7 linked regions of the Oryza sativa Japonica Group genome follow. The protein of the gene in region 3 binds, or shares a complex with, the protein of the main gene of each other region. Links are inferred from orthologs where the notes say so. Each region holds a gene or a part of one and is shown on either strand. Other genes may lie near its edges.

Evidence for each region.
Region 1: large ribosomal subunit protein cL37 (region 3) and large ribosomal subunit protein uL15c share a complex: the UniProt entries of both Arabidopsis thaliana proteins name them as parts of the 50S ribosomal subunit. The link is inferred for Oryza sativa Japonica Group from reciprocal best matches to the Arabidopsis thaliana genes PSRP5 and RPL15.
Region 2: large ribosomal subunit protein cL37 (region 3) and large ribosomal subunit protein uL3c share a complex: the UniProt entries of both Arabidopsis thaliana proteins name them as parts of the 50S ribosomal subunit. The link is inferred for Oryza sativa Japonica Group from reciprocal best matches to the Arabidopsis thaliana genes PSRP5 and AT2G43030.
Region 4: large ribosomal subunit protein cL37 (region 3) and 50S ribosomal protein L24, chloroplastic share a complex: the UniProt entries of both Arabidopsis thaliana proteins name them as parts of the 50S ribosomal subunit. The link is inferred for Oryza sativa Japonica Group from reciprocal best matches to the Arabidopsis thaliana genes PSRP5 and RPL24.
Region 5: large ribosomal subunit protein cL37 (region 3) and large ribosomal subunit protein bL21c share a complex: the UniProt entries of both Arabidopsis thaliana proteins name them as parts of the 50S ribosomal subunit. The link is inferred for Oryza sativa Japonica Group from reciprocal best matches to the Arabidopsis thaliana genes PSRP5 and RPL21C.
Region 6: large ribosomal subunit protein cL37 (region 3) and large ribosomal subunit protein bL34c share a complex: the UniProt entries of both Arabidopsis thaliana proteins name them as parts of the 50S ribosomal subunit. The link is inferred for Oryza sativa Japonica Group from reciprocal best matches to the Arabidopsis thaliana genes PSRP5 and AT1G29070.
Region 7: large ribosomal subunit protein cL37 (region 3) and large ribosomal subunit protein bL9c share a complex: the UniProt entries of both Arabidopsis thaliana proteins name them as parts of the 50S ribosomal subunit. The link is inferred for Oryza sativa Japonica Group from reciprocal best matches to the Arabidopsis thaliana genes PSRP5 and RPL9.

The regions. Positions count from the first base shown.
Region 1 is NC_089037.1:6,341,805-6,345,765, reverse strand, and holds the start of large ribosomal subunit protein uL15c, read right to left. Parts: upstream 2,801-3,961; 5' UTR 2,742-2,800; coding exon 2,324-2,741; intron 2,158-2,323; coding exon 2,006-2,157; intron 1,020-2,005; coding exon 798-1,019; 3' UTR 784-797; exon of another isoform or gene 682-783; intron 42-681; exon of another isoform or gene 1-41. Other genes in the region: uncharacterized protein, read right to left, coding at 3,333-3,961.
Region 2 is NC_089036.1:1,980,082-1,983,877, forward strand, and holds large ribosomal subunit protein uL3c, read right to left. Parts: upstream 2,301-3,796; 5' UTR 2,207-2,300; coding exon 1,675-2,206; intron 942-1,674; coding exon 652-941; 3' UTR 501-651; downstream 1-500. UniProt on the Arabidopsis thaliana protein: One of the primary rRNA binding proteins, it binds directly near the 3'-end of the 23S rRNA, where it nucleates assembly of the 50S subunit.
Region 3 is NC_089035.1:9,871,317-9,874,296, reverse strand, and holds large ribosomal subunit protein cL37, read right to left. Parts: upstream 1,829-2,980; 5' UTR 1,783-1,828; coding exon 1,674-1,782; intron 974-1,673; coding exon 651-973; 3' UTR 501-650; downstream 1-500.
Region 4 is NC_089040.1:29,338,661-29,342,752, forward strand, and holds 50S ribosomal protein L24, chloroplastic, read right to left. Parts: upstream 2,673-4,092; 5' UTR 2,593-2,672; coding exon 2,470-2,592; intron 1,361-2,469; coding exon 1,322-1,360; intron 1,247-1,321; coding exon 1,019-1,246; intron 906-1,018; coding exon 723-905; 3' UTR 501-722; downstream 1-500. UniProt on the Arabidopsis thaliana protein: One of two assembly initiator proteins, it binds directly to the 5'-end of the 23S rRNA, where it nucleates assembly of the 50S subunit. Required for optimal plastid performance in terms of photosynthesis and growth.
Region 5 is NC_089036.1:9,030,857-9,034,839, reverse strand, and holds large ribosomal subunit protein bL21c, read left to right. Parts: upstream 1-1,325; 5' UTR 1,326-1,371; coding exon 1,372-1,674; intron 1,675-2,145; coding exon 2,146-2,226; intron 2,227-2,774; coding exon 2,775-2,876; intron 2,877-2,959; coding exon 2,960-3,034; intron 3,035-3,153; coding exon 3,154-3,237; 3' UTR 3,238-3,483; downstream 3,484-3,983. UniProt on the Arabidopsis thaliana protein: This protein binds to 23S ribosomal RNA in the presence of protein L20.
Region 6 is NC_089035.1:34,740,188-34,743,787, forward strand, and holds large ribosomal subunit protein bL34c, read right to left. Parts: upstream 2,316-3,600; 5' UTR 2,292-2,315; coding exon 2,048-2,291; intron 935-2,047; exon of another isoform or gene 934-934; coding exon 674-933; 3' UTR 501-673; downstream 1-500. Other genes in the region: uncharacterized protein, read left to right, coding at 2,549-3,600. UniProt on the Arabidopsis thaliana protein: This protein binds directly to 23S ribosomal RNA.
Region 7 is NC_089036.1:35,818,859-35,822,851, reverse strand, and holds large ribosomal subunit protein bL9c, read left to right. Parts: upstream 1-1,193; 5' UTR 1,194-1,212; coding exon 1,213-1,335; intron 1,336-2,002; coding exon 2,003-2,130; intron 2,131-2,480; coding exon 2,481-2,526; intron 2,527-2,795; coding exon 2,796-2,893; intron 2,894-2,977; coding exon 2,978-3,025; intron 3,026-3,127; coding exon 3,128-3,248; 3' UTR 3,249-3,314; intron 3,315-3,430; 3' UTR 3,431-3,668; downstream 3,669-3,993. UniProt on the Arabidopsis thaliana protein: Binds to the 23S rRNA.

The sequences.
Region 1 (3,961 bases), on a different chromosome or scaffold from region 3:
CTTGTATACCTCTGAATTTTGATTTGGATCTCTTCCATACCCTTGCCGTTAATTGACCGTTTAATAGGTATATAAAAGTCAGTTTTACCCTTCAATATGTGAGGAATATGTAGAAATTTGTAAACTATATTGTTGGAAGTATAAAATTTGTTGTGTGATTATCATATTCATAAGTTTTATGTACATAAAAAATTTAATATATATTTAAAAAGTACATGTAGCATTTTTTTAAATGATAAACATAGTTTTGGAAAGCATTCCTATATAATATATACAACAGGAGAAAATATGTTGAACTACCATAAACAAATGCTACATATACTCTTTTAGTAGGTAAATAAATATTAGTTTTTATGTCATTAGGTAAAAATAAACTTTGCCATGAATAATACCTTGTACAATAAAGTCATGAATATGATAGTCTTATATAACAAAATTATACACTTCCAACAATATAGCTAGTCTACAATTTTTAGATTTCCTTCATGTCTAAGGGCAAAAAGGTCCTTTTCATTAGAATTAAACATTCAACTAACGGTATGGGTATGAAAGGGATCAAAACCAAAATTCAGGGGCATACAAAGGAGTGGACAAAACTCGGAGGCGTAGAAGGGATTGGCTAAACTTTCAGGGGTATAGAAGGAATTTTCTCCATTTAAACAGGAAACACACAAAAAAAAATGCTTGCATATCGCACGGATTCAAAATTCGTTGAACGTGGAACTTTTGGAACAAGGTAAGAGAAATAAGTATATGTTAAAGAAAAGGGTAAAGGAGAAGTACAGTGTATATGAATTCTATGCAGATGCTTCATCAGATTCACCAGCACCACCATTTTTCTTGCTAAAGTATTCTTCTGCACGAGCTTGGTTCTTCAGATAAGATTGTGGTAGCCATTTCTTCCGCTTTGGTACCAGACTTAAAGTACAACCAGCTGCCTCGAGCTTCTCCTTGGCTGAAGCAGAGAATGCCCCAGCCTTGATATTCAACTTGACTGATACATCACCATCTCCTAAAATCTACAGATAGGTTTTCAAAAGTTAGCATACTAATACTACCCGCATGATAAAAGATACAATAACAACAGCAACATTGCAGTATCATTGTACTCAAACAAAGATGAAAGGAACGCCATCTGCTGAACATCAGAATCAGATGTCAAGAAGGAAAAAGCCTATCATAAGGATAAAGTTGATAGCTCCCCACATTATGACTTAGGTCTTGATACCTGTTTTAGCCCTGTGGGTTTTACCTTATATGTACCACATAGCTAGGAGCCTAGAGTATAGAAAAAATCAATCAAATGAAATAGGACCAGAAAGAACAATAAAAGTTGAACAATTATGCTATTCAAGGTGCATTAAGTTCCACCCTTGGAGAAGTCTTTGTCACATCAGTGATCAAGCGCCACACCACTACCCACTATAAGGGGCAACCCAGTAGCACACTAATGCATCTACTCCAGCAATCCGCCAACTAAGAGTGGAGACAAACAGTAAATATTTTGGGTATGTTGGGAGTGATGCAGACATGCAGTGGTACATGTAAGAGCACATGGTTTTGTTGGGATCTTGATACCACTTCATGTTTATGCCTGACAGATATGCTCATATGCAGGCCTACACCATGTGTGGGTTCATCATAACTCATACGTTCTAGATCCTTGAGTAGCCAATAGAAACACTCGTCAAATCATACCGTGTTTGTCCAACACGAGCTAAGAAAATTGATCCCGACACACAACTTTGAGACTTCGAATACTCAACTTGGTAATTGCTGCTAAGGACAGACCAACACAGCAACATTTGAGAACTACAAGAAAAAAAAAGGCCAGCCATTCAATCCACAACATCAACAACTAAAGGATTACCCAAGACTGCTGGTGAACTTGATGAATTCACTGGCAAAGATCAAATGCAAGGCATTCATATTTCAGTTTTCAGTAAAACATGGTCATCTACAGAACCGACTTAAAAAAAAGAAGGATAATCGTCGTATAGTGTACCTTCAGAGGAAGCTTTCTCTCCCTGCCAGACGGATTAATCAAACCCCTCGATTTCAAGGATTCCAATGATATCTCGTCACCATCCTTGAACCCGCCACGCGCCAAGTCTCTCAAATTGAACGGCACATACTTCGGCAAGCCAATATGCATTCCTGCAATCGCAAGGTAGAACTTGCAACGGGTCACTTCTCAATCCCAGCATTTCTGCATTCCAAATGGAAGGTGCTAGCGTGTTCCCACTCAATTTCCAGTGCATTTGAATGTGTGAGGCTTCGATTGAGGGCGAGGAGGGGAAGCGGGAAGCTCGAAGAGACTCACCTCCAGCAATGCCGCGCAGCTTGGGGATGCGGCGGTAGAGCGGCATCTGCCCTCCCTCGAACCCGCGCCGGACGCCTGGCCCCGAGCGCGACTTCTGTCCACGCATGCCGAACCCGCAGCTCGCGCCCTGCCCCGCCGCGATACCGCGCCCCTTCCGCTTCGGCCGCCGCCGCGACCCCTTCTGCGGGCCCAGGTTGTCGAGCCGGAACTTCTCCGCGGGCTCCGCCTCCGCGGCCTCGGCCGCCGCGGCGCTGCACACGACCGTGACGCAGCGGCGCGGGCGGGCGCGGAGGACGACGGACCGGCGGCCGGAGATGGGGCCTGGAGCGGCGACGAAGGAGGTGGAGAGCGAAGTGGAGGCCGGGAGGTGGAGCAATGTGGCCGCGGGAGCGAGGGAGAGGAGGGTGATGGACGCCATGGCGGTGGAGCGGAGAGCGCGCCTGAGCGGCTTGCTGGTGTGGGTGGATAGAAGGGGATAATTGGGGAAGGACACGAGGGAGATAAGACGGTTGGATAAATGGGCCATGAATCCAATTAACCCTTGGGAATTTGGGCCTCTTTTCCCTCTATTTTGTGAATGGTTTCGTATTACTCACTTTGCTTCTTGTTTATTAAAGGATTTTAGAAGGTTTACAAAAGTTTATGAATAGAATAGAACTGAATTTATCTTCTTAAGAAATGAACATATTTGGATTGATCTTCCACACACAATCAACCAAAGAGAAAACCTGATCTTTGCTGTTCTTCAAGAGACTAGTACGGAGAGAAACTGATGGGTCACACAACCTGACAGAGTTAAGTATACTGAACTGATCTATGCTAAGAAAAGAAAAGGTGAAATGAGAAAGGAAGAAACGAAGACATGTACAAGACACATGCTTCACAGGATCGTCCCGTTGCATGTCTAGCAGTAGACAGGTGCAAGGAATTAAAAGTAAGTGTTACAACTGTAGTCTGGATAATTGTACGTCCAGGCCTCAGCTGAAAGAAACTAATGGAACTCTGGCCATCAACCATCTGAAATGTCAACAACGATACCTCTAGTTGGTGAGTTCAATGGTGACGATGCAGCTTGGCCAGCTTGATCCTCTGCTGCTACATGACTACTTACAGGATGATCTGGCAATGAACTTACATCAACTCGATTAGCTTGCACATTTTCAGATTTGTCATTGTCCCCCTGGCTTAGGGGGTAAGAGCCAGCACTGCTAGAATTTCTGCCATTTTCTACAAAAGATGTAGAACTAGCACCTTCACTGCCACTATTGGATTCCCTAGCAAGAACAAGTTTCAGTAACTTCTGCCGCTTTCTTCTTTCGGTTCTTTTATTTATCAAAGGCACCTCATCTTCATCTGACTCATCCACAGAATAGTAATTCAACCATTCAATGATTACAGAGTAGGAACCATCCCACTTGCTTATTTTTCTTTTCTTCTGTCTGCTGCACTCTTGATTCTTCTTTAGTGAGGTTGTTCTTGGACGCTTCGGTGCTTCCTGAACAGTTGTGGCGGTTAGACGGTCCAAACCAATATCCTTTGACAATTTGATTTTCTTATTAGCTGTGTCTCTTGAAGAGGACTCCATTCCAGAAATACCAATAGAGTCATCAGGAGGAAACCCAGCAGAGGTTTCTTCCA
Region 2 (3,796 bases), on a different chromosome or scaffold from region 3:
CCAGCTTCGGTGACTTGTGTGAGAATATTTCATGGCCTAATAATGTGTCGCATTGACTGATGCAAGAAACCTATTGTCCCTGTGTCATTGCTGAAGATATTGTAGAAGTTAGCGTTAATGGTGACTGGAAGCTTTACATTGACATTTCGTGCTGTTGCACTTGATGTGTAGTTTGTACATGATGCTTAGTTAACATTTTCCCTCTGTTGCACTTGCTGCGGTTGGCCATGTCGCGCTCTGCACTCTTCGGTTGTTCAGACATGAGAGTTTACAATAATTCAGTATTGGAGAAGTTGGTAAAACTGTCAGATTGTTGACGCTTGGTGAAGTTTGATTCTCAAGATGTGTTTGTTACACTACCGTCTACCATTACATGTTTCCATTCCCTGAACACAGAATAAACAGTGATTGCAAATTTGACATCCAAGCACAAGATGATTAAGATTCTGTTAGCTTCTAGTCCAAAGAGAGTGTGAACTGAGAACGGGAGATCGATAAGATTGAGTAGAAAAAAAATTAGCTTTACGAAATTCAAAGTTACGCGTATACAAAACCTGGACATGGGCAAAGAACATCTCCAATTTACAGTAATTCAGTAAACAACAGATCACAAATCTCACAGAACAGGACGAAACACATGAGAAAAATAGTCTAGTTCTTGGGGATGTTCTTGCCGACGATCTTGGCAGGAGCGATGCGGAGGAGGTTCCCGGGCTTCCCTGGAACGGCGCCCTTGATCATGACAACTTTCAGGTCGTTGTCGATCTTGACGATCTTGAGCTTCCTGATCTTGGTCTTGGTTCCTCCCATCCTCCCGGGCATCTTCTTCCCCTTGTACACCCGACCCGGCGTCGTCCCGGCACCGATCGATCCCAGAGCTCTGTGGCTCTTGGAGCCGTGGGTCATCAGCCCTCGCTTGAAGTTGTGCCTCTTGATGCCACCTGTGTCGATGTCCAAGAACCGTCAGTCGCAAATTGAGAGCATAGTTGCACAATTATGCCATATTGCCATTAGATGATCAGGAACTAAAAGAGATATTGGTGCTCTTGACTTCATGAGAATGCTATAAACGATTATGTTGTTTGGGGAGAAACACCCAGGGGTCTTCCAACTAGCTCCACAAGGTGGTAGGCTAGACGACCTGGGTTCGAAGCCTCACCCATTCTAATTATTTGATATTAGGTCCTTCTCTAATATTTGTGTCTTTTTTATTATGTTGTTTGGGAAGAATATACATGAAATGGATAATGTTTGCGGTATTGGCAAATCGTTGGTCGCAGCAAATCAAGAGCGCAATTGCAACGGGTTTACGATGTTATATTCACTTCATGAAAATTATACAAGTGATGCTGATGGTTGCAATAAATTGTGAACTATAACGAATGTGTTGACATGGTACAGGTCTGCAACTCCAAGAACAGCATTGACATTGCCATATTGGCAATGCCATTGTGCAAGTCTAGGACGCTAATCAAGAGAAGAGGCTAAATGATTCTTCCCAAGAACAATTCTGTACACTAACATTGGTGAGCATATGGTAAATTTGATACAGCAAAATTTCAAGCTTGTTCTCAAGTCTTCCTCACAATGTAAAGCATTGTTCAAATTCAGACAGGGCGAAATGGTAGTCACATTGTGAAAAGGGAGTAAAAAAAAATAATCAAGTTTACTGACCTTGGAACCCCTTGCCGATGGACTTGCCGGAGATGTCGACGAGGTCGCCCTCCTTGAACATGTCGGCGAAGTCGAGCGGCTGGCCGGGGTCGTACCCGTCGACGGACTGGAGGCGGAACTCCTGCAGGTGGCGGAGCGGCGGCGCGCCGGCCTTGCCGAGGTGGCCGAGCTCCGGGCGGGTGAGCTTCTCCTCGCGGACGCCGTGGTACCCCACCTGCACGGCGTCGTACCCGTCGGTGGCCGCCGTCTTCACCTGCGTCACCACGTTGCCGCCCTCCCGGAACCCCACGACGGTCACCGGCACCGGCTTGCCGGTGGCCGGGTCGAAGTAGGTCATCATCCCGACCTTGGTCGCCATCACCCCGACCCCGGCCTCGTACGACGCGCGCACCACCGCCACCAGCGGCCGCCGCCGCGCCGCCGCCGCAGCCGCGCCACCTGCGCCGCTCCAGGAGGCGGCGCGGCGGCGCGGCGCGAGGAGGCCCAGCGCGCCGCCGCCGCCGCCGCCGATGCCCACGGCCGCCATGGCCATTCTTGGTGCCCCGGATTCGAGCGGGGATTTGCTCACTCCAGCAGTGTCCCGGCTTCGCTTGCTGCTTTGGTTGTTTTTCGTGTTGAATTCGATTGGATTGGGGTTTGCGGCTAATGCCCCCTTATCCTCCCGCCTGCAGAGAGGCGCTTTTTAGGAATACGCTTTCTTTGCCGGGGAGGTGGATTCCGTAACAGTTGCAAAATACCACGGGTGCATAATAAATTACAGGTTAGGCTAGACAGGCGGAGCTACCTCCTGGGCAGGTCGGGCGACCGTACAGACTCCGCCGCTGATGTTGCTACTATTCTCCATTGATAGCACATGTAAAAATTTAGGGAGTAACTATATATATATTTATAGCGCCGTATTTTTCACCAAAAAAATAGTCGGCATGTATTTACATTGCAAGTCCCTAAATTACATATATAATTTTAGTGTATTTACAATGTAAATTCCAAAATTACATATGTAAGTACTAAAATTACATATGCAATTCTCAAAATTACATGTGTAAGTTGATGTAATTCCCAAAACTATAAATTTGTGATGACACGGATATTTAGTTTTTAAGACTAATTAGTAATCCTAATTAGCAAATAACATTAAAACAACAGAAGAGATCAGAAGAGAACAGAATCGGAGGGATATGCGTACACTGCGATGATTTCTGCATCCGCATCTGACGGTTGAAACAACCGACTGAAATCCATCGTAATTTGTAGCGACATATTTTTAGCAATACCGAAAATTTATGGATCACTAGTAAACGTTCCTTGTCTCCCAGGTTTAAGTATGCTGCTAGCTTTGCCATTGAGACCATATAACTTTACCGAGTTTTATTTTAGATAACGTGCTATCCAGTGTCCTTACTTAAAGTCAAGTGTTTTTACCTAGATCAATTGTACCTTAGCACGGTGCCCCTGTGCACCAGGTGGGAAGATATCAATGGGAACTGAGTTTGGTACAGATGGTTTGTTTTAGTATATAAGTGGGTTTTTGTAGGTTAGCCACTTGCACTCTCGATGACCTTCATTGCACTAACACAGTTCAGAATAGCTCACTACAAAATAGTGATTGAACACTTCAAATTCTATCGAACCAATAACGTTGTTCAAGAATTGAAAGCAACGAGAGAAATCCATTGCCTTCTACGCGAGTGAGATTCAAAAACACAAATCTTGCGCTCCATCACTAGTATTTTCACAATTCACATTTTGCTATATCTTTATTGTTTTCTATGCCCTTCGCTCTACCTGATCACTTATATATAACAAAATATTGCTTTACTTAGCATATGTTCTTCTGGAGGGATTGAAAACCCCCTTCGCATGCAAAACGAAGCAACATACTAACACTGTCGGAGCTTGGGGCTCCTCACCGGGAGACCGCGCAGGCCCCCCTTTGCCGGTTCGGCCGGGGGCGCTAAGTGAGGTTCTTCACCCTCGATCTGTGGAATATTCGCGAGAGAGCAAATGCACGAGACACGGGCGATGTAGACAGGTTCGGGCCGCTGAAAAGCGTAATACCCTACTCCTGTGTTCTGGTGGATCTGTGTGTGAAGGAGTTACAGAGAGCTGGAGAGCAAGAGAG
Region 3 (2,980 bases):
ATAAATTTTACAACCACATCAACAGGAAGGGCATCAGAAAAAAAATCGAAAATGGCACTCTTCAGATTGTTCACATCGTGCCTGACAAAGTGGCAAACAACAAACAAACCCGAATTTGCTCCAGTTATTTCCTTGTCCAGGTTGATCCTTTGTGCTTTAATCAACATCAGGTCAGACGAAAGAGTTGTGAGAGGCCCTAACAAAACACATCATGGAAGTGTATATACAGGCAAATACCTCACAAATATAGAGTGCAGCACAGCAAGGCTTCTTGAAATTTGCTATGATTTTGAGTTTTTGACAAACACAGAAGGCATCAAGGTGCATATGATATTTCCACTATGGGAACACACATTAGATTTAGTGGTACTTCTGTAGGACAGCTAAAGCCTAAAGGAGAAAAAGGAGGGACATGTTAGAAGAAAATTTGTTCAGTACTGGGCTTTGTGTGTTTTTAACGGTGACCGGTTTATCCATTATCTAAAAAATACAAGATGAAATTTCATCGGGAAAGAAATAATCACATTTTGCAAACATTGTGTTTCATATTTTGAACAGCAAAATTCGCTGGGCATCAGCTTAGGAAATACAGAGACGGATGAACAGAACATAGAGGTGTACAGAAGAACAGCGACCGACATCACTGCTGGTTAGACGTTCTTGAGCTTCTTCATCTTGGATGGTGGCCATCTACCTTTCTTCCTCAGCCGCCTCTTCTGGACAAGCCTCCTGCGCCGCTGCCTCAGCTTCTTGGCCAGCTTCATCTTCGCCCTCTGCTCCATGATCATCTTCTGCTTAGTTTCGAGCGGCATTGTCTCAATCGAAACCGTGGGTTTTGGCTCCTCTGGTTGATCTGTGCCAGCTTCTTCTGCGCCAGCCTCTGCCGAGGCATGGACAGAAACTAGCCTCTTCTTGGTGAAAGAAGCATTCAGAGGGCTCTGCGAGGAGAGATTCTTGCACTGGAGCCTTGGGGCTGTAGCATCAGAAAGGACAAATGGCAAGCCTCAATGTGCATCATTTTAGATATAGAATTCAGAGTACATGCATGCTACTTTCAAAATTTTGATAGAATCTCCGTCATATAAGAAACTTGAAAGCTAATAAGTCTAGCTCATGTGTGCCACTTCATGGATAGTATATAGTACAATAACTAGTAACAATCCTAGTGTTCTCAATTACATATTATGATGAATCTTAGCAGAGCACAGATATGTAAAATCTACTCATCTATTAACAATCAGGCCCCAAATGTAGGGTGTACTACGAATGTCACCCTTTGCCAGTGACCGGTGCTTACATAGCATCTGATATTATCATTTAAGCACGAAAGAACCAAAGCTTCGAGAATCTGCAGAGTTCACTGAGATGAATTATACCTAGCTTTGTACAGAGATGATAAATGCACGGAATCTCCCACGAATTACTGCATCTGCACACGACGTGTTTGAAGAAATTCCCTAACGAGCCAACCGCATCCCAGAGAATCAGAAACGCCACGAATCACCAACGTCAAATATCTAGACCAATCCTCCCACCGAATTACAAATCACACCTCACAACAATGGATAGCCTCGTACCCACTCAGCATAATCCAATCCAAGAACCAACACCCCACAACCCGAGTAACTTATGCGCAAAAGTCCCGGTACGGAGAAGGCGTTCACGGAGGTTACCGGGGATGGTGGAGGCGACATTGGCGGAGGCGGGGAGAGCTCTGGCGCGAGGCGGGGAGGCGGAGGAGGAGGCGAGGAAGGAGACGGTCGGGGAGAGGAGCAGCGCCATGGCCACGGGCAGTGTGGGATTCGGCTTCTTGGCCCGTCGTCAGCCTATCCACCCATCAGCCCGGAGGGAGGAGATAAGCCTGTGCTGCTGTGAGCGCTCCGCCGTCCGATGGAGAATCAACGGCCAGATTTAATCTCCGTCAAGTAAGGCTGCTTGGCAGTTGGCCCACATGTCATAGGTGGAGAGAAATTTTGATTTTGATTTTCTTTTTCTCCTCTCGCCGCCTCCGCCGCCGCCGCGGGTGGCGGCGACAATCCGCATCGGCGGCGTCCCCTCCGCCCGGCCGCGCTCGCCGTCGCGTCCTACGCCGCCGCCGGCCGCCACATCCTGCGTTCGACGTGGATAGCAAGAGGTGGGGGAGCTCGCCGACGACAAGAACCTCCCGTTCGACGGCCAAGCGGGTGCCCATCGGTGATGAGAAGAGCAGCTAGCGACAACCTCTTCGTCTCCCACTCCAAGCCGAAGCACGCGCCGGCGCCGCCGTGTACCGCATCAAGAATGTCTCCTCCTCGTCGTCGCCGTCGCCGTCGCCGTCGCCGGCGTAGAGCAGTTTCAGCATCGAGGACGAGGAGGTGTCTGTACAGGAGCTGCTGCCAATGGTTGATCCGGGTCGTCAGCTCTCGTGCGCCATTGGGGATGGAAGCTTCTGCTCCTTCAGCTCGCGGACACCCATCAAGATTATGGAGCGTGCAGAGATCCTCCAGCCGAGCGTAGCTTCGACATGGACATCAATGCTGCCGGAGAGGAGGATGAGGATGATGCACGAGCCATCGTTGTATCAGTGTCAGAGAAGATTTACAGAATCTACGACAAGTCTCGCAGGCTGGCTCGCAGGGTTCAAATTTCCGGTTCGACCAAAGTTTTTTTTATTCTTTTGTGTGAATTTAGTAATATTTATTCAAATTTGACCAAATTTTGTTCGAAAATTCAAATAATTCTGGACCAAATTTCGGTATATCAGCACCCCAATACAAATACTGAAAACGAAAAATTGAACCATGGGCTCGCCAAGCGCCACTGATTGCTACATTGTTTATCTAAGAAAGCTTTGAGTGGGGTCGGAGACGCCTTGCGACAACATTGGCAAACTCCTCTTTGTGGGAACGACGACGACAGTTGGAGATGGTACAAAAGCGAAATTCTGGGACTTTGCTTGGTTGCAAGGGAGAAGGCTTAAGGAAGTTGGCCCCTCTGGTCT
Region 4 (4,092 bases), on a different chromosome or scaffold from region 3:
CATCTTCGTCTCATGGGATCTGGACAGGTGTCAGGTTTCCCTCGCGGAGCAAAACGCAAGCAGAAAACTGTGGTTTGCTTACGATCACCTGGATTTGATATTTGCGTGCCATATCTGCTATGTTGATTCTCAGCCGTCAGCACGAGCTCTTGAGCTTTCATGTTATCAATGGCAAATCAGATTTGTTTTTTCCTTTTTCTGACTATAATCTTTTAGCACTATATATTTGTATTTTTTTTCCTACTATATCAATAGAAACATCGCTATCTTTTAGCACTATATATTTGTATTTTTTTCCTACTATATCAATAGAAACATCGCTGCGGGTTGTTTCAAAAAAAAAATTGCTAAGCTTGTTTCTTTTATGATACTCCTATCTTACTACTCCTTAAAAAAAAGAACTTATCAATCATTCATGGGTTTTATATGTACATCTCATCTATATTTCTATATGGAAATGGACCAAATTAGTCAATGGTTGCGAATAATAGCTCAGGACAGGGGACAGCAACAACATTACAAAATCATTTGTATGAGCGAATGTAGCTGAACCATTCTAGTAGCTGGTTAACAAGCCAAGCATGTCATTGGATACAAAAAAATGTTGGCAACTGTATAGAAATTTACAAGACTCTGAAATCTGAATCTAGAAAAGCATCAACTCATTTGGGCATACAAAAAGTGCAGTTCAGAAAATGTGCAGGACTCCCATGCTACCATGATCACTCCGAACTTCCTTCCTTGAACACCTTGACCCAATTCTCAGCACTGTCAATTATTTCACCAGTCTTGACCAGGTACCGAACCTTCGTTCCATCCTCAAGGAATTTGTGTCCAACCCTACTCGCCACATTCTTTTCCTTTGAGTAGAGCATCACATTTGAGCTGTGAATGGGGCCTTCAATCTGATCAAAGAAAACACCAACAACCATAGGTTAACGATCAGGCATCTGAAACTATATATACGACACTAGCTAGAAGCAGCACAGAAAGAAGTTTCAAGAGAAACAATGCTGACCATGACGATTTCACCCGGTTCATCTTCTGTTCCTTTCTTGTGCTTGGACTTCAAGTTCAAGTCCTTCACTATTACAGTGCTGTTGTGCTTAAAAAGCCGCGTAACTTCTCCAACTTTACCTTTCTCACGGCCTGCAATGACTTGTACTGTATCGCCAATCCTAACATGCATCTTGTGCAGGACAGGAAGACTGTTTGGTTTACACTTCTTCCTCTCCCATCGCTTAAGCTGCATTGGAAAAAGGGAAATTTCAGACATTTGAGTAAATAGCAAGCTGCAGACCAAAAAAGAATTGAAACTTACCCTCATTTGAATTGGGCATGTCTTGATCATAAATTTAACCTGCATATAAAAATTTATGCATATCTTGTCAGAGTTTCTTATGAAAATGACATAAAATGTAATAATCAGCTGCTTTTGAGATATGACATGAATCATGCTCACGATGTTTCTTAGGCAAGAATATCTAGGATAATCATATGATCTTTTAGTACGAGTTTCTTCATATAAGTGCAGATTTTAGTACAGTTCATCATATAAGTGCCATATATAGCTCAGTCACTCCATTCAAGAGCAATTATTCGGCCTTATTTTCTCTCATCACCACTTTCCAGGTAAGTAATTAGTCGTGAGTGAGTCTCATTCTGAGGACGAAGTGCAGTAGACTATCTAGAAGAGCTAAGGAACGCCAAAAAGAATATACAAAAGATAGAACAAGTTCAGTCTGATAAGTATACCGAGTGTGCCAATCATTTGCTACAGGCTATCCCCGAGTGAAATGAGTTTCCATCATTTTCCCATGGAAGTCTTCTGTGAAATTTCTACTGTTGAGTAATTTAAAGTTCAAAGGCAAAATTGTTTCTAGCCAGCGAAATGTGATCTATACAGCAGGTTAGAACAAGAAATGGTCTGTCTCACTAGAGGGCACATCTTTCAGAAAAATAATCCTCTGCTTGAAAGGCTGAATATTGGGTATCCATCGCTTATACCACCATAGGAAAAAAATAATATTCAAGTTTAAACTGAAACATAACAGGCCACATCCCATGGTAGACAACACAATTTCTAACTTCTGAATTCACTCAGTTGATATACTCAAACTTGAGATTTCAAGCATTCATTAATTCATATAAACCCTCCTTATACTAGCCAACTAGGTTCAACTATACCACAAAATCCTTGAGACCTTTTCTCTAAAAAAAATATACCACAAAATTTTGACACAACGTTGGTTGTTGGCTAGTTGAGGTCCTGAGCCTGAACTCCTGAAGGCAACAACAGTACAGTGAGGCGATGTAGACATCACCATTGCAATGCCACGCTGTTGGTGAGCTCTAAAATCCTAAATCTCAGTGCAAGCTGGCATTTCTACTTTTCCAGCGAATCATAAGAGCAGAGCAAACATAAAGGAATGCGAAAAATGAGAATCAGGGTTGGGAGTCGGCACAAACCCCAGCCGGCGCGGCGGCGAAGGTGGAGAGCGGGTGGCCCCAGAAGCTGCTGGTGCTCGCCGCCCCCGGCGCAGAGATGGAGAGGGACGCCATCGCGCCCTGCAACGCCGCCACCCCGGCCATCTTCGTCTCCTCCCCTCCTCTTCCTCCCTCGCTCGCTCAAACCGCAGAGAAGCAGCAGAGGATAACGAACGCCTTCGTGTGCTCGCGGACAGGATAATGGCGAGCGCTTTTCTACATGACAAATGGGCCTCTAGGCCGAATGGATTGGCCCACTTGTAAGACTCATAAAGGCCTAATGAAAGGCCTATCGTAATCCAGCCCAACTACAACGGACCTTACGGCCCAAGTCAGCCGCGATCCCGTTCAGGCTCAAATATAGCGGGCCTCACGTAAGCCGCAATCCCGTCTCGACCCAACAAGAACAGGTCGCACCTACACAGATAAAATCTATTGTACATTTCTCATCTCTGCTCCTGATTGAATTACCTCCCTCAACCGCAAAATGGAGGAAAATCGGTCTTATTGTTTGGTTATGCTTATATTTATGAGCCAAAATTTGAATTTGAGAACTTAGTTTTGAATTTGCTTTTTTGTTTTTTTAAAATGCTTATATTTTACAACATTTGCTTTAAGTTATTATGGACATATATAAACATTTTACTCATAAATAAATTTTTATTTGCTAATAAACGATTCGAATAAGCGAAAACCGTAGCAGATCAACCCTTAGATGGTTTGTAGGGTGGTTCCTGTTGACGTGGCAGGCTGACTCGCAGAGAACATGAGGGAGGCAAAATAGACTTACTATCACGCACGTCAGCAATCCGGTTAAGGCCCAAATGTCGTGGGCCGCTCGTCGTCCGCAATCCCGTTTGTGGTCAAGTAACGTGGGCCGAACGTCCTGGGTTGATATGGGCCGACACCCGTTTTCGGATAAGGCCCAGCCCAGCATACGCTCGTCGTCTTCCTCGTTGCGTTGCGTGGCTTCGTCTCCACACGCATCATCACCACGCCACGCGCCGCGAGATGCTGCTTCGGCGGGGGCGCCCAGGCGTGGCGCCTCCCGGATTCCGGCGGCTTCGACGTCGCCGGCGACGCGCGCAAGCCAAGCGACAGTTGCGGAGGCAAGCAACCCCCCAAGTTCCGTCCCTTTTGCGCTTTTCTGGGACCCATTTCCTCTCTCTTTTGGGGGGCGCTTTCGCGGTGACGACGCTGCCGATGCGCGTACGCCTGAGGAGTTCTTCCCCATCACGCCGCGTGGGGGATCGGGACGTCGCCATTTCCGCTGCCGTTTTCTTCTCTTTGGGGGGTTGCAATCTCGCGTTTCATTTGATAGGGTTGGGCGTGGGCGGTGGGGAATGGGGATGGGTAGGTAGATGGCACCGATGTGAATCGGACGACTTCGAATCGAAGCCTTCCGATCCATGTGAGGAGGTTGAGGAACCAACCTAATTTCGAATCGAAGAACTCTTGGTTTCTCTACCTAAAACCAAATAGCATAGTGACAGTGGTCGTTATACTATGAATTCCAAGCTTTTTGACCGAAGATTTCGAATCATCGAGCATCTTTGGCCAAGCTATTCTAACACGGTTGACTCAGAAGTCTACGTTTCTATGCAT
Region 5 (3,983 bases), on a different chromosome or scaffold from region 3:
AGATAACAGTCTCACAGTTTATCAATGTTGTTTGATAGCCTTTGATGCGCTTGCATGGGCTGCAGCATATAGCAACAGGCCAAGCAATAGTGCGCTATACCTTGCATTGGCTACGGCTACACAGTCGAAGCAATGCCATAGAAATGTGACTACTGAACATGTCAATGTTCATTGTTGATAGAACTGGGAGTACGGAAGATAGTCTCTTTAAGATGGCTAGGTCAAAATATAAGCAAAGGAGGACTCAACAAGATTTGAAAAAAAAAACAACAATCAGGTCCTCCTCTGTCTTATGCCCACATTGGTGGTGACTGGTGACATACTTGATGGCAGTGGGTGCTACATGGACACGGCGAGCTACAGAAGATGTTGCCTTGACGCATTCCCAAATAGGGTTTCACAACAATAGAGGTTAAGGCCATGACAATTCATGAAAAGGTTCATCAATACCATAGATGAGTACATCCAGAGCTAAATGAGATTGTTCTTGGAGCAGAACCATCAAGGTCGACAACCTAATCGTTGATATTGGTGATAGAGACAAAGATTTCATGGCAAGTTGCATAAAAAAGCACCAAGAAGCTTACCTTATTAGGGCCTCCATAGCCTAAGGTTGAGGAATCCAAGCATATAGCAAACAAAACTCAACTGCTTCTTGAAGGTTTGCCACCAATAAAGAGGAAGAAAACTATCATCCTTGCGAAAAGCCTGCTGGAGAAAAGAAAGATAACTTGCCTAACTTCCCTTAACTAGGTCTAGCTTTCTCCTAACTCACGGTGATAGAGAATTACCCGGTGTTTTAGAGGGATACCACTAGAGAAGAAACTTCGATTGCCTTCTCCATGAAACCTAGGACTAGAAGGCCAACATCGCCGACCTTCACGCTCAAACTAAAAGAAAAACCCAACTAAATTGATTGACCTACAAAGAGAGAGTTTGTCGGACTTCTCTCCCTCACCTCGCCGGCGGCAAGGTCACCCGAGCCTGTGAGGAAGAGGGGTCGAGGAGGCGTAGTAGTTCAGTTTGGCTCTTTCGTCCGAGAGTTCACGAGAGTTCTCATCACTCGTGTTAATTCGCATATTCTTTATGGTCTAATCAACACATTCGATCCAACTCTTTTATAATCTTTAACTGATTAAATCAAACGATTCTAAACTTTAGAAAGGAGAAACAAAATGAGTACGTGCAGTATCGCTAAAAAACTAGTAGGGCATAGTTTCATGTTTTTCATGGGTATCTAATCTGAGCCGTTGATCTCCAATCGAACGGCTCAGGGTAACCTCCCTATCCACAATATTATCCCTCTTCTTTCTTTCCGATACGATAGCCCACACTCTCATCCACACTGCTCTTCCCCCCCGCGCGCCGGCCATGGCCACCGCGACGCTGCCCCTCCGCCTCCTCGCCTCCAAAACCCTAGCCTTCCCCTCCGCCCCGTCCCTCCCGGCCTCGCGATGCTCCCTCCCCGTCGCCGCGTCCGCGCCCCGCCGCTGCTGGCGGCTCCTCGCTTCCGCCGAGGAGCCGGCGCCCGCACCCGTGGAGGCCGAGGCCGAGGCGGAGGTGGTAGAGGAGGAGGAGGTTGAAGAAGAGGAGGCTGCGGTGCCGGAGCCTGTGGAGGCGCAGATCGCAGCCGCGGGCGCCGGGAAGGACGCCGACATCTTCGCCGTTGTCATGGTGGGGCTAGCTTGCCCTTGCCGCCAATATTTCAGATTTAGTCCTGCTCGGCTCACTGCAAACAAACAAAAAAAGAATCACATTTGTTCATGCTACATTACCTCGAATTCTTTAAATAATATCATTACACAGGCATTTGGCGCTAGTTGCGTTGCTTCTTGCGGTGAAGTGAGCATTTGATTTCAGGCTTGTGTTGCTTACTCTATGCTGCATAAGAAGCTTAGGATTCACGCGCCAATAGGAATGCGCGCACGCCGATTATTAGTATGTACAGGACACACCATTAAGAAAACGGCGCAGAGAATTACAGTGTTTTCGAATGATACAATACTAGTCTTACAGAGAATTGTTCGGATGCATTTCTGAAATATGCAGGAGTGCATCTGAGGAGGGTTTCTCTGTGTTTTGTTTTGTATGAGCGCTGTGAATAATAACGAGGGAGCTATTTTGATTATTTTTCTTCTGTCGCAGATTGGGTCGAGACAGTACATTGTGATGCCTGGAAGGTATATATACACGCAGAGGCTGAAAGGCGCCAATGTCAATGATCAGGTCTGGTGCTTCCACTTTAGAGGATGCAGGAGGATACTTGTTACACCCTAACTAGAAATTTGGCCTATTTTTGCTAGTTAGTTGGTTTGTATTAATCCATAAATTTAAAAGGTATATGATGCTGAGGTGGCTTCTAGATAAGGTGATTGTAAATTAGGAAAAGGCAAATATATAGTATTGGTTATTTGGTTATTATTCTTTTTCATCCATGAGATGCAATAACAAACTTCAAAACAACGAGGAAGGTTGTACATTCTGAAATTATGGAAAGTGGTAGTGACCTACTTCATTTTAGAAGTAAAAGAGTCACTTCCCTGTAATTATAACACTTCAATCCCAGTTCCTGATTTCACATAAATATCTTATTCAGAACTTTTCGATAAGTTTTGTGTAGCCTGCATATATTAGCTTCGTTCCTTTTCTAACTAAAATTACTCCTCTGATGCAAAGCTTCCAATCCCATAGGACCCATACGTTGGCTTATGTTGCTGGCATTTTTAGTATTGTTTTCCCAGAAATTCTCACTTCTGGATAATGCTGATGTGCAGATAATATTAAACAAGGTATTACTGGTATCAACTAGAGACAAGGCTTACATTGGCATGCCAGTGGTGACCAATGCTGCTGTTCATGCAGTGGTTGAGGAACAGGTATGTCCTCTGTATGTTGTCGGGTTAATCATGGATATTCAAAATTACTTGACCCTGATGTCTCCCCAATATTTTTATATCAGGGACGGGATGATAAAGTGATAGTCTTCAAATATAAGAAGAAGAAGAAGTACCAGAGGAAACTTGGTCACAGACAGGTAAGTTTTTCCAATTACCTTCTTCAAGAAAGGTAGAATTTTATTGATAAATACTGATTCAGTTTTTACAGCGAAGCAATTAGAGTTCTTTTAGATTAAAAATCTCTGTTGTTTTGCAGCCAAACACAAGGTTAAGAATTACCGGCATAAGTGGATACGAGGACTTCCCTGCTGACCCGATACTTGAGTATGTTCCAGCTTAAGAGCAATTGTAAGTTCTGTAGTTACAAACAACTGGTAGTACATTAGAATACGAGTGCTACCTTTTCTTGTCTGGAAGAACAGTTTTTGAACAAAATTTGCTTTGTTCATGTGTTCGAGTGCTGCCAGTCATCCAGTTGTTCCATCCTTTGTTTATTCCACCATCTGTTTTGTTCATTCTGATATTGTGTATCCTAGCCAACTGTATTATTTTCACTGTGCTTAAAAAAAGAGAGAGCATTTTACCACGATACGGATGTTTTAGCTTTGGTTTGTGTAACTTTATACAGTTTTTGTGACTACTGATGCTAATTTCACTGTTTTTGGCATCTGTACCAATGGTGCTTAGTTTATTGAACGGGCTATGTCCTAATATTTTGGGATCAGTTACAGTACTATGTTCAATGCAGTTCTGGTCATGATTTATTCGAGTGTTCTAAGAGAAGTTCTGCAAGGCCATATATAAGGTGTTTGTGTGCAACCTTGTACTGCTTAGGGCACATAAGCAGCTGGTTAGGACTTAGGCCATATAAGCATCTACAAGGCAGGTGGCTGCATGGATTCTGCTTACCACTTTTTAGAACCTTGGTTCATGAAGAACTGCAGAAGTTTTGCCCTTTTGAATCCTTACCAAAGATAACCAGTGGCATAAGGCGTATAATCTTTTGGCAAACTATGACTGTTTCAGTAGTCCTTCACCCCTAATTGCATATTACAGTTCTGAATTATAGTGGTTTTCAGACATCTT
Region 6 (3,600 bases), about 25 Mb from region 3:
CCTTGAGGATGGAAGGCGGCTTGCCGATGCGAGTGAAGAAGAGGAGGGATTCAGTTTGTTAGAATGTAAATGTTCTCTTTGCTACTTGTTGCCTTTCATTTATTCCAGGTTGAGTTCTGGATATTATCCATTTTTTCGCCTGATAGTAGCAAAATTATAAGGTGACAGAGGATTGGATGGGCAATCAGGTTGTTTTACAAATAAGTGTGTACCAAAGAGATTGGCACAGAGGAGGTGGATAAATTGTGTTACACAGTGGAGCATGGAGTGACTATGATGAGATGATCTGAATATTAAAATTCACTGGACTGTATCAGAAAATAAAAGGGACGTTCTACTACAGAATAGAAAAATTGATGAGTTTATTTGAGCAACTGCTCAAGTTAGCATTTAGGCCCTTTGGCAAAATCTATGCTCAGAATGCAGTCAAGATAGATCAGAGGAAAACCATGGCAATGCAGATCAAGGAGAACATATTCCCACAGCAAACAACTACTAAATACTGCACAAGCAAAAAGGCTAACTTGAATTTGTGTTGATAATGTACTTCACACATTAACCGGACACCGGGTGAAGGATTTGCACCAATTGTTATGGTTGAGTATAACCGAGAACGTGGGATAAAAAAATACACTTACAATTGTGACAAAGAGCGACTTAGAATGCGATTCAATCAGAACATTCGTTTCTTCCCAGTGGGGGAGTTCGTCTTTGTGCAGAGAACCCTTCTTCCTTTGGCGCGTCTGCGCTTCAGGACCTTTCTTCCGGCAGTAGTCCTCATCCGTCTGCGAAAACCATGTGTACGGGCAAGCGACTTCCTAGATCTATTTCTCTTGGTCATGCACAGAGCAGCCTTTCCAGCCCTAATCTGCAGAATCCGGGATCTTCCTGTTGTAACTCTGTTGTAGCTGAATTCAATTCCCAAAGATGAACCTGAAATATGTAACATATTAGGATACTGAAATCATTTGTAGGTTGGAACAAATATGGTTTGATACATAAGAACATGGATTTGCTAAATACAACAGTACAGCACAGAAACCGGCTATTTGATTGCCCTTAGTTTGTGTTTTTGTTCTCTAAGATCATTTGGAAAAAAACTCTAGTATGTAAAGTACAGTTCATTTTCCAAAAGGATAATATCATTGCAATAGTTCCTTTAATCTAACGTTATTGGCTTGTTTTAGGAGCATTTTGGTTTTGCTTTAGGTGGCAAGGCTATTAATTGTAACTGAACTGTTTAAAAAGTTGAGTTGTCCAGTTAAACGTTCTTGATTCAGTGATTTCGTTAGTTCGTAGTATAATTATGTTAGATGATATATTTCATAATGAGTTTACTAAATTAAGCTCATGCGCTCGCTCCAAAAAGTGGAGTTTCCTGAGTTTTTGTGATGTTTTCATGATTCTGTCGCAAGAATGTACTACAATCTACAGTCCATCTGGCACTACTGGAAATCACAATATCAGTATCACAGTACATGGAGGAAGAAAAGAAACTTTCAGCCGTGTAGGTTTCCTAACATGGAACCATCTAGAACTAATCACTGAATTATGAATATATATACACGTTCTTACACTAAAAAACTGGATGTGTAAACAAGTGATTTTTTTTAATCTTAATCGGAATCCACATCTTAAGCAAAATTCTCTAGCACATGGTTAACTATAAGAATGCGTGGGCTTTAGGATCAGACATTGCAGATTATAACAAGCTGCGTACAGCAGCTAACAAGTACGGCAGAGTTTGAATTTAAGATTTCTCAGGAAATTGCCAGAATACCATCAGAACTTTCAAATATATCAATTGCATTAAAATCGCTAGTTTAGTTTAGTTATCTTCTGACATTAAGCACTGATTAACTGTACACGCTACCTATCTGACAGTATAAACACTCCATTGTACAGTACTTAAAGCCGAAACCAGCAGCACAAAAGTTCATTCCTCCCTTTCTCTTTGCAGGCAACTCTCTCCTCCATCTAGTTCCCCAACCCAAATGGTAGCAACAGAACGAAGCGAATCAGGAACGAGTAAAGTACACATTCTCACCAGCAAATGAGGAGGCAGAGGTGAAGGTCAGCGACGCCGAGACCGCGGCAGAGAGCGCGGCGGGGGAGGCGGAGGCGGATGACGTGGAGGAGGAGGAGACGAAGGAGCTCCGGAGGAACGGGGTGGCGGCGGCGCCCATCGGGGATGCCCTGCGAGAGCGGAGGCCGCCGCCGATAGCCGCCGCTGAGATCCTCCCGGAGTGGAGTGAGAGAGCCGCCATTGGCGAGACGAGGGCGAGCGCCATGTTTGGGGAGTCGAGGTGCGGTGCAGGGCTATGGCTATCCCCACACAATGTTGCTTTATCGTCTTATCCACGACGAGATGCGATTCTTGGGCCAAATCATGGGCCTTCGTCTTAGGCCCACTCATGTTAGGCCCATTAAGAGGAACAGTTCGTCGTCTTCCTAGAAACAAGTTCACCACCGTCCGCCGCCTGCAGACGGGGCTTTATTACACAATCAGCCACCAGATCTCATCGCCGTCGGCCGTCGCCGTCGCCGGATGGACCCGAGCCGGCCGTTGCTGGGGCGGGGCGCCCTCATCACCTCCTCCGCCCACGCCGCCGCCGCCCTCTTGCTCGTCGCCTTCCTCTTCCTCACCCTCCGCAACCTCCCCATCTCCCTCTCCCCTCCCACCGCCGCCTTGACGCCCACCACGTCCCACCTGGAGCAGCAGGATCAGGCCAGCTGCGACACCACCTCCACGCTCGACTGCGCCGACCCGCAGCTCTTCCACCTCATGATGCGCCGCGCCATCGACGCCTTCCCCGACGTCCACTTCAACCGCTTCGGCCGCCCCGTCCCCGGCGACCCGCCGTCGTCCTCCTGCGACATGGCCTGGCGCGCCCGATCCACCGCCTCCGCCAACTACAAGGACTACCGCCGCTTCTCCGTCGCCCGCGACCCCGTCACCTGCGCCTACTCCGTTACCTCCATCGGGGAATACCACTCCGGCCCCCTCGCCCGCAAGCCCCGCCGCGGCGGGACCAACGCCACCGCCCCGCCGCCCCCACCCGCGCTCTCGCGCTCCCAGTTCGCCGCGGGCAAGTACCTCTCTTACCTTGGCGGCGGCGACCGGTGCAAGCCCATGCCGCATTATCTTCGTAGTCTCCTCTGCTCCATCGCCGAGGCCCGCTACCTCAACCGCACCCTCGTCCTCGATCTCAGCGTCTGTCTCGCCGCCGCCTACGCCGGGGGCATGCCCGAGGAGGGCAAGCGCCTCGCCTTCTATATTGACATTGAGCACCTGCAATCCGTGGTCGGGATCGTTGAACACAAGCGGTTCTGGGAGGATTGGGACAAGTGGGGAGCACAGGGTCAGCTTGGAGTCCGCATCATCGAGGACAGCAGGGTTGCGCCCACCAAGTTCTCCAAGTCGAGGGATCCCCTGATCGTTAGGAAATTTGGGGACGTGGAGCCAGGGAATTATTGGTACAATGTGTGCGAGGGCGAAGCTGAGCATGTCCTCCGTCCACCGCAGGGAGCAATACGCACGGCGCCAAGCTTGATGGACATTGTTGATGGTATCATATCAAGGATGCAAGTAGATTTTGA
Region 7 (3,993 bases), on a different chromosome or scaffold from region 3:
CGTGGAGTCCGCTTGTTTGGTTTCTCCGATGGCGGGAAGGACGAAGTCATGGACGGCTGCATGACATGACGACGACGATGACATATACTCGATTATATACCCCTCTTCTCTTCGGTTTTCTCATCTCGTTGAGCAGTAGACATACTAATTCAATAAGATATATAATCGCCATTCTTTTTAAGAACGATTTGCTAGGTTTTTTTTTAATTTTTGTTCCTTTCGAGAAACAGGTCACCAGCTGGAGATCTTTGTCAGAAAAAGTACAACAAGATGATACTGGAGTATGATATACGAGGATGATATTTTGATGATACTCGTTGATAATTAAACAATGATACTTGATTATACTCTTTGATATTATTCATGAAGATACGGAGTATTTGCTAATACTCGTTCTTGCACATTGATACTTGATGATACTCGTTGATATTTGCTTATACTATTAATACACGTTTATACGTAATGGTAGCTAGTGATGTATCGTTGAGTTTCAAGATAGCACCAAAATAGTGTTATAATAATATATTTCTCGATTTATGTTATAACATGAATATTAGTGAAGGACCTAATATCAAATAATTAGAAGGGGTGAGGTTACGAATCCAGGTCATTTAGGCTATCACCTTGTGGAGCTAGCCGGAAGACCCCTGAGTGTTTCTCTTAATGTATGTTATAACATCTTGGCATCACATGTACTATCTATCTATCTTAGTAATATCGTCGAGGTATCACGTACATATATATCTCCTACCTTTCTCTATACGTTGAGTGGAAGGGGGTTACAATTTGGTGGATTATTATTACGACTTGTTTGGTATGAAACCATGCCAAAATATTGGCAATGCCAAATCTTGAGTAAATTTTGGTATTACTAAATTTTTGTTATTGTCTATTTGGCTTCACCTTATTGATTTAGCAAAATTTGACTCTAATTCAAATAGTTACGTGTTAACTATTCAAAGTTACCAAATAATTTATTTTTGACCTTTAAGTTATCAAAGAATTAGTAAGGCAAGAAGGAGCGCCAAACCAAAATGACCCTTAATCTTCAAGCCCATGACAACCCCGAAGAAAACCTTTGATACTGGGCCGATTTGAAAGGCCCAAAGCAGCGCAAAGCCCAAGAGAGAGGGCACCAAATCCGTTGGGGAAGTGGATAAGAGAGCAGCAGCCGCAGTTCCTTCCCTTCCCCCGCAATCCATCCCCAACGCCATGGCCTCCACGCTCGCCTGGAGCTCCGCCGCCTCCTCCTCCGCCCCCTCCTCCCGCCTCCCGCCGCGCCGCTCCCCGTCGCTGGTCGTCGTCGCCCAGGGCAAGGTCAAGAAGTATCGCCAGGTTTGGCTTCCACTTGTATTTTCTCTCCACAGTTGCAGCATGTATGTATGTATGTATTTAATTGCGATTCGTTCGAGCTAAGCAGTACTAGTACTGACTGATTGAACAAGCTGTTGCTGGTGATGCTTTTGTTTTGCCTCTTTTAGAACTAGCCATACCCAATGTACTGTCTGTCACCACCCTGTCCACTAATCAGTACAGTAGATTACAAAGCGCATGCGACTGCATTCCATCGATCGAAAAATTCGAAATGCAGCAGCTGTAAGCTTAAGATTACTGTGTGCATTCACACATCTGAGTATAGGAAAAGATACATTGCCATGGACGCATGCTCTGATGCAGTACATGGAAATGGAAGAAACTATCGTCATGTTTTTAATTAGGTGCCTCTTAGCATTGCAACTCAGATGCAAAAGTCATCTCTAATATGATTCTGTATATGCCCCGGAACGCCGGAATTGTTGGTTTGGCCATGCTGTTTGTTTGTAGGGAAAGTTGCAACTAAAAGGCATCTAGATACACCCAGTTCAAAATTTGCACCTGTAAACTGTAAAATGTTCCAAGCCTATGTCATCATCTTCCTTGTCTATTATGCATTTCTATACTTTAGCATGTAATGCACGATTCCGTATTTGATTTACTTCACTTGAGTTTCTTTTTCTCCCAGGTCATACTGACAGATGACATAGCAGAGGTGGGGAAGAAAGGGGACACGCTTAAAGTGAGGGCCGGGTTCTACCGCAACTTCCTTCTGCCAAAGGGCAAGGCAACGCTGCTCACCCCAGAAGTACTCAAGTAATCTTCTGTCTTACAGTCATTTACCACATCTCACGAATTGTATAGGCTATGTTTCAACCAACAGATAGGTGCTCCTAGTAAATTAATTGACGTATGCTTATGTTTCATCGTAGTTGGTTTTCACAGTATGCTGCAGGTGTAAATTTGCAGCTATTTATTCTGTTGTGTTAGCCATTGTATCTCTTGCCTCCTTGTGGAGCCCAGGATTGACATATAAATCTGCAAACTTTTATAGATGCCTATTCTGCATTTCTAGTTCAGTTCTTCTGGGGTGTTCAACATGTTCAATTAGTTCTTGTAAAAGGATGGCTAGTAAGCTACTTAATTTCCTCTGCTGCTGTCTACAGGGAAATGCAAGTAGAACAGGAGAGGATAGATGCTGAAAAGAAGCGGGTAAGTAAACCTATTATTCTATTTGTGGACTCAGTAAGAATTGATATAGTTGAAACTTATTCCTATTTGTTCCTGTCTGTCTAAAAACTACTGTGGTAGTTATACCCTACTAATCCTTGTTCTCCAGGGTACGTAGTTGTGGTTTAGCTTATTTTGTAAAAAGTCTAAAGCATGATTTGTTCCTACCAATATCATTTTCCATAAGAGTATAAGAACTTTCATCCAGTGTTAGCATAATCTTACCCTGTTGAGCATTTGTGCTTGAGTAGGTAAAAGAAGAGGCACAGCAACTTGCCCGTGTTTTTGAAACTATTGGGGCATTCAAAGTGCCACGTAAAGGTGGGAAAGGAAAACAGATATTTGGGAGGCAAGTTTTTATCGAGTAGATAGTTCTTTATGTATCGTCTTATTTTACTTGCACTTAATAACAAGTTTTTCTTCTATTCTACAGCGTCACAGCACAAGATCTTGTTGACATCATAAAGTCACAACTTAATAGGTATGCCCTTCTAAGTGCACTGACAATCACTACCTTTTAAGGAAGGATTGCGATGCTCTATTTGCTGCTGTTGCTTTGCTTACCGGAAACTATTTCATGTAGGGATGTCGACAAGCGTCTCGTGACAGTGCCAGAAATTCGTGAAATTGGGGAATACATTGCAGAGATTAAGCTTCACCCTGAAGTCACAGCTCAAGTAAGGCTGACCGTATATGCGAAATAAGCCCTGAAGCTGCTTGATTGAATCTTTAGTGGATGGTGGGCTTTGGATGAATTCTGATTTCACCAGGTAAGCTCATCTGCAAGGCATTCCATTGTTCCTTACCTTTTGCTCCGTTCTTAAGCTGTCATATACATTTCGTCAATTGTGTTAGCAGCTGAATTCATGCAATGATTTACTTGCAGAGATTTTTGCTGAAACTCCAAGGTGCAGTGTCACATCACGGGGCTTGGTCTTTACACATTGCCACTGTCCATCCTACCTGTAAAGTCAGTTTCTTGCACCTTTTTTTTTTTGACAAATTTATTTGTGTTAATGTTATGGGGTTAAATGGGCATGATGTAAACAACAAAGGGTTCAGAGTCTAGAGCAACTGATACTTGTCTTGTAATCTTGTTTAAAGGTGCACGTTCTTTATAGTCATATAGTTTGATAGAGCTACTACAATATTTGGGTTGGGTGGGCCAAAATGGCACGTAGGCAGTCTGGTGGTCGTAGGTTGGGCCGCTTGGTCGCTGTATTATTAGGCCCAAACATAGGGATTTCAACACATTTTTTAATGAAAACTTTCATCTGAAAAAACCTTCGTTTGGAAACTTCCATCCAGAAACTTTTCATCTGAAACTTTGACACGGACTTTATATGCCAAAAGTGTGTGCCGCGGGCAAAGCTGAGCTAATTAGTCATCCTGTTAGTACATAAACTATTTGGGTTAGATTTGTTTGTGGGTGAGGGTGGAAAAAGTTAG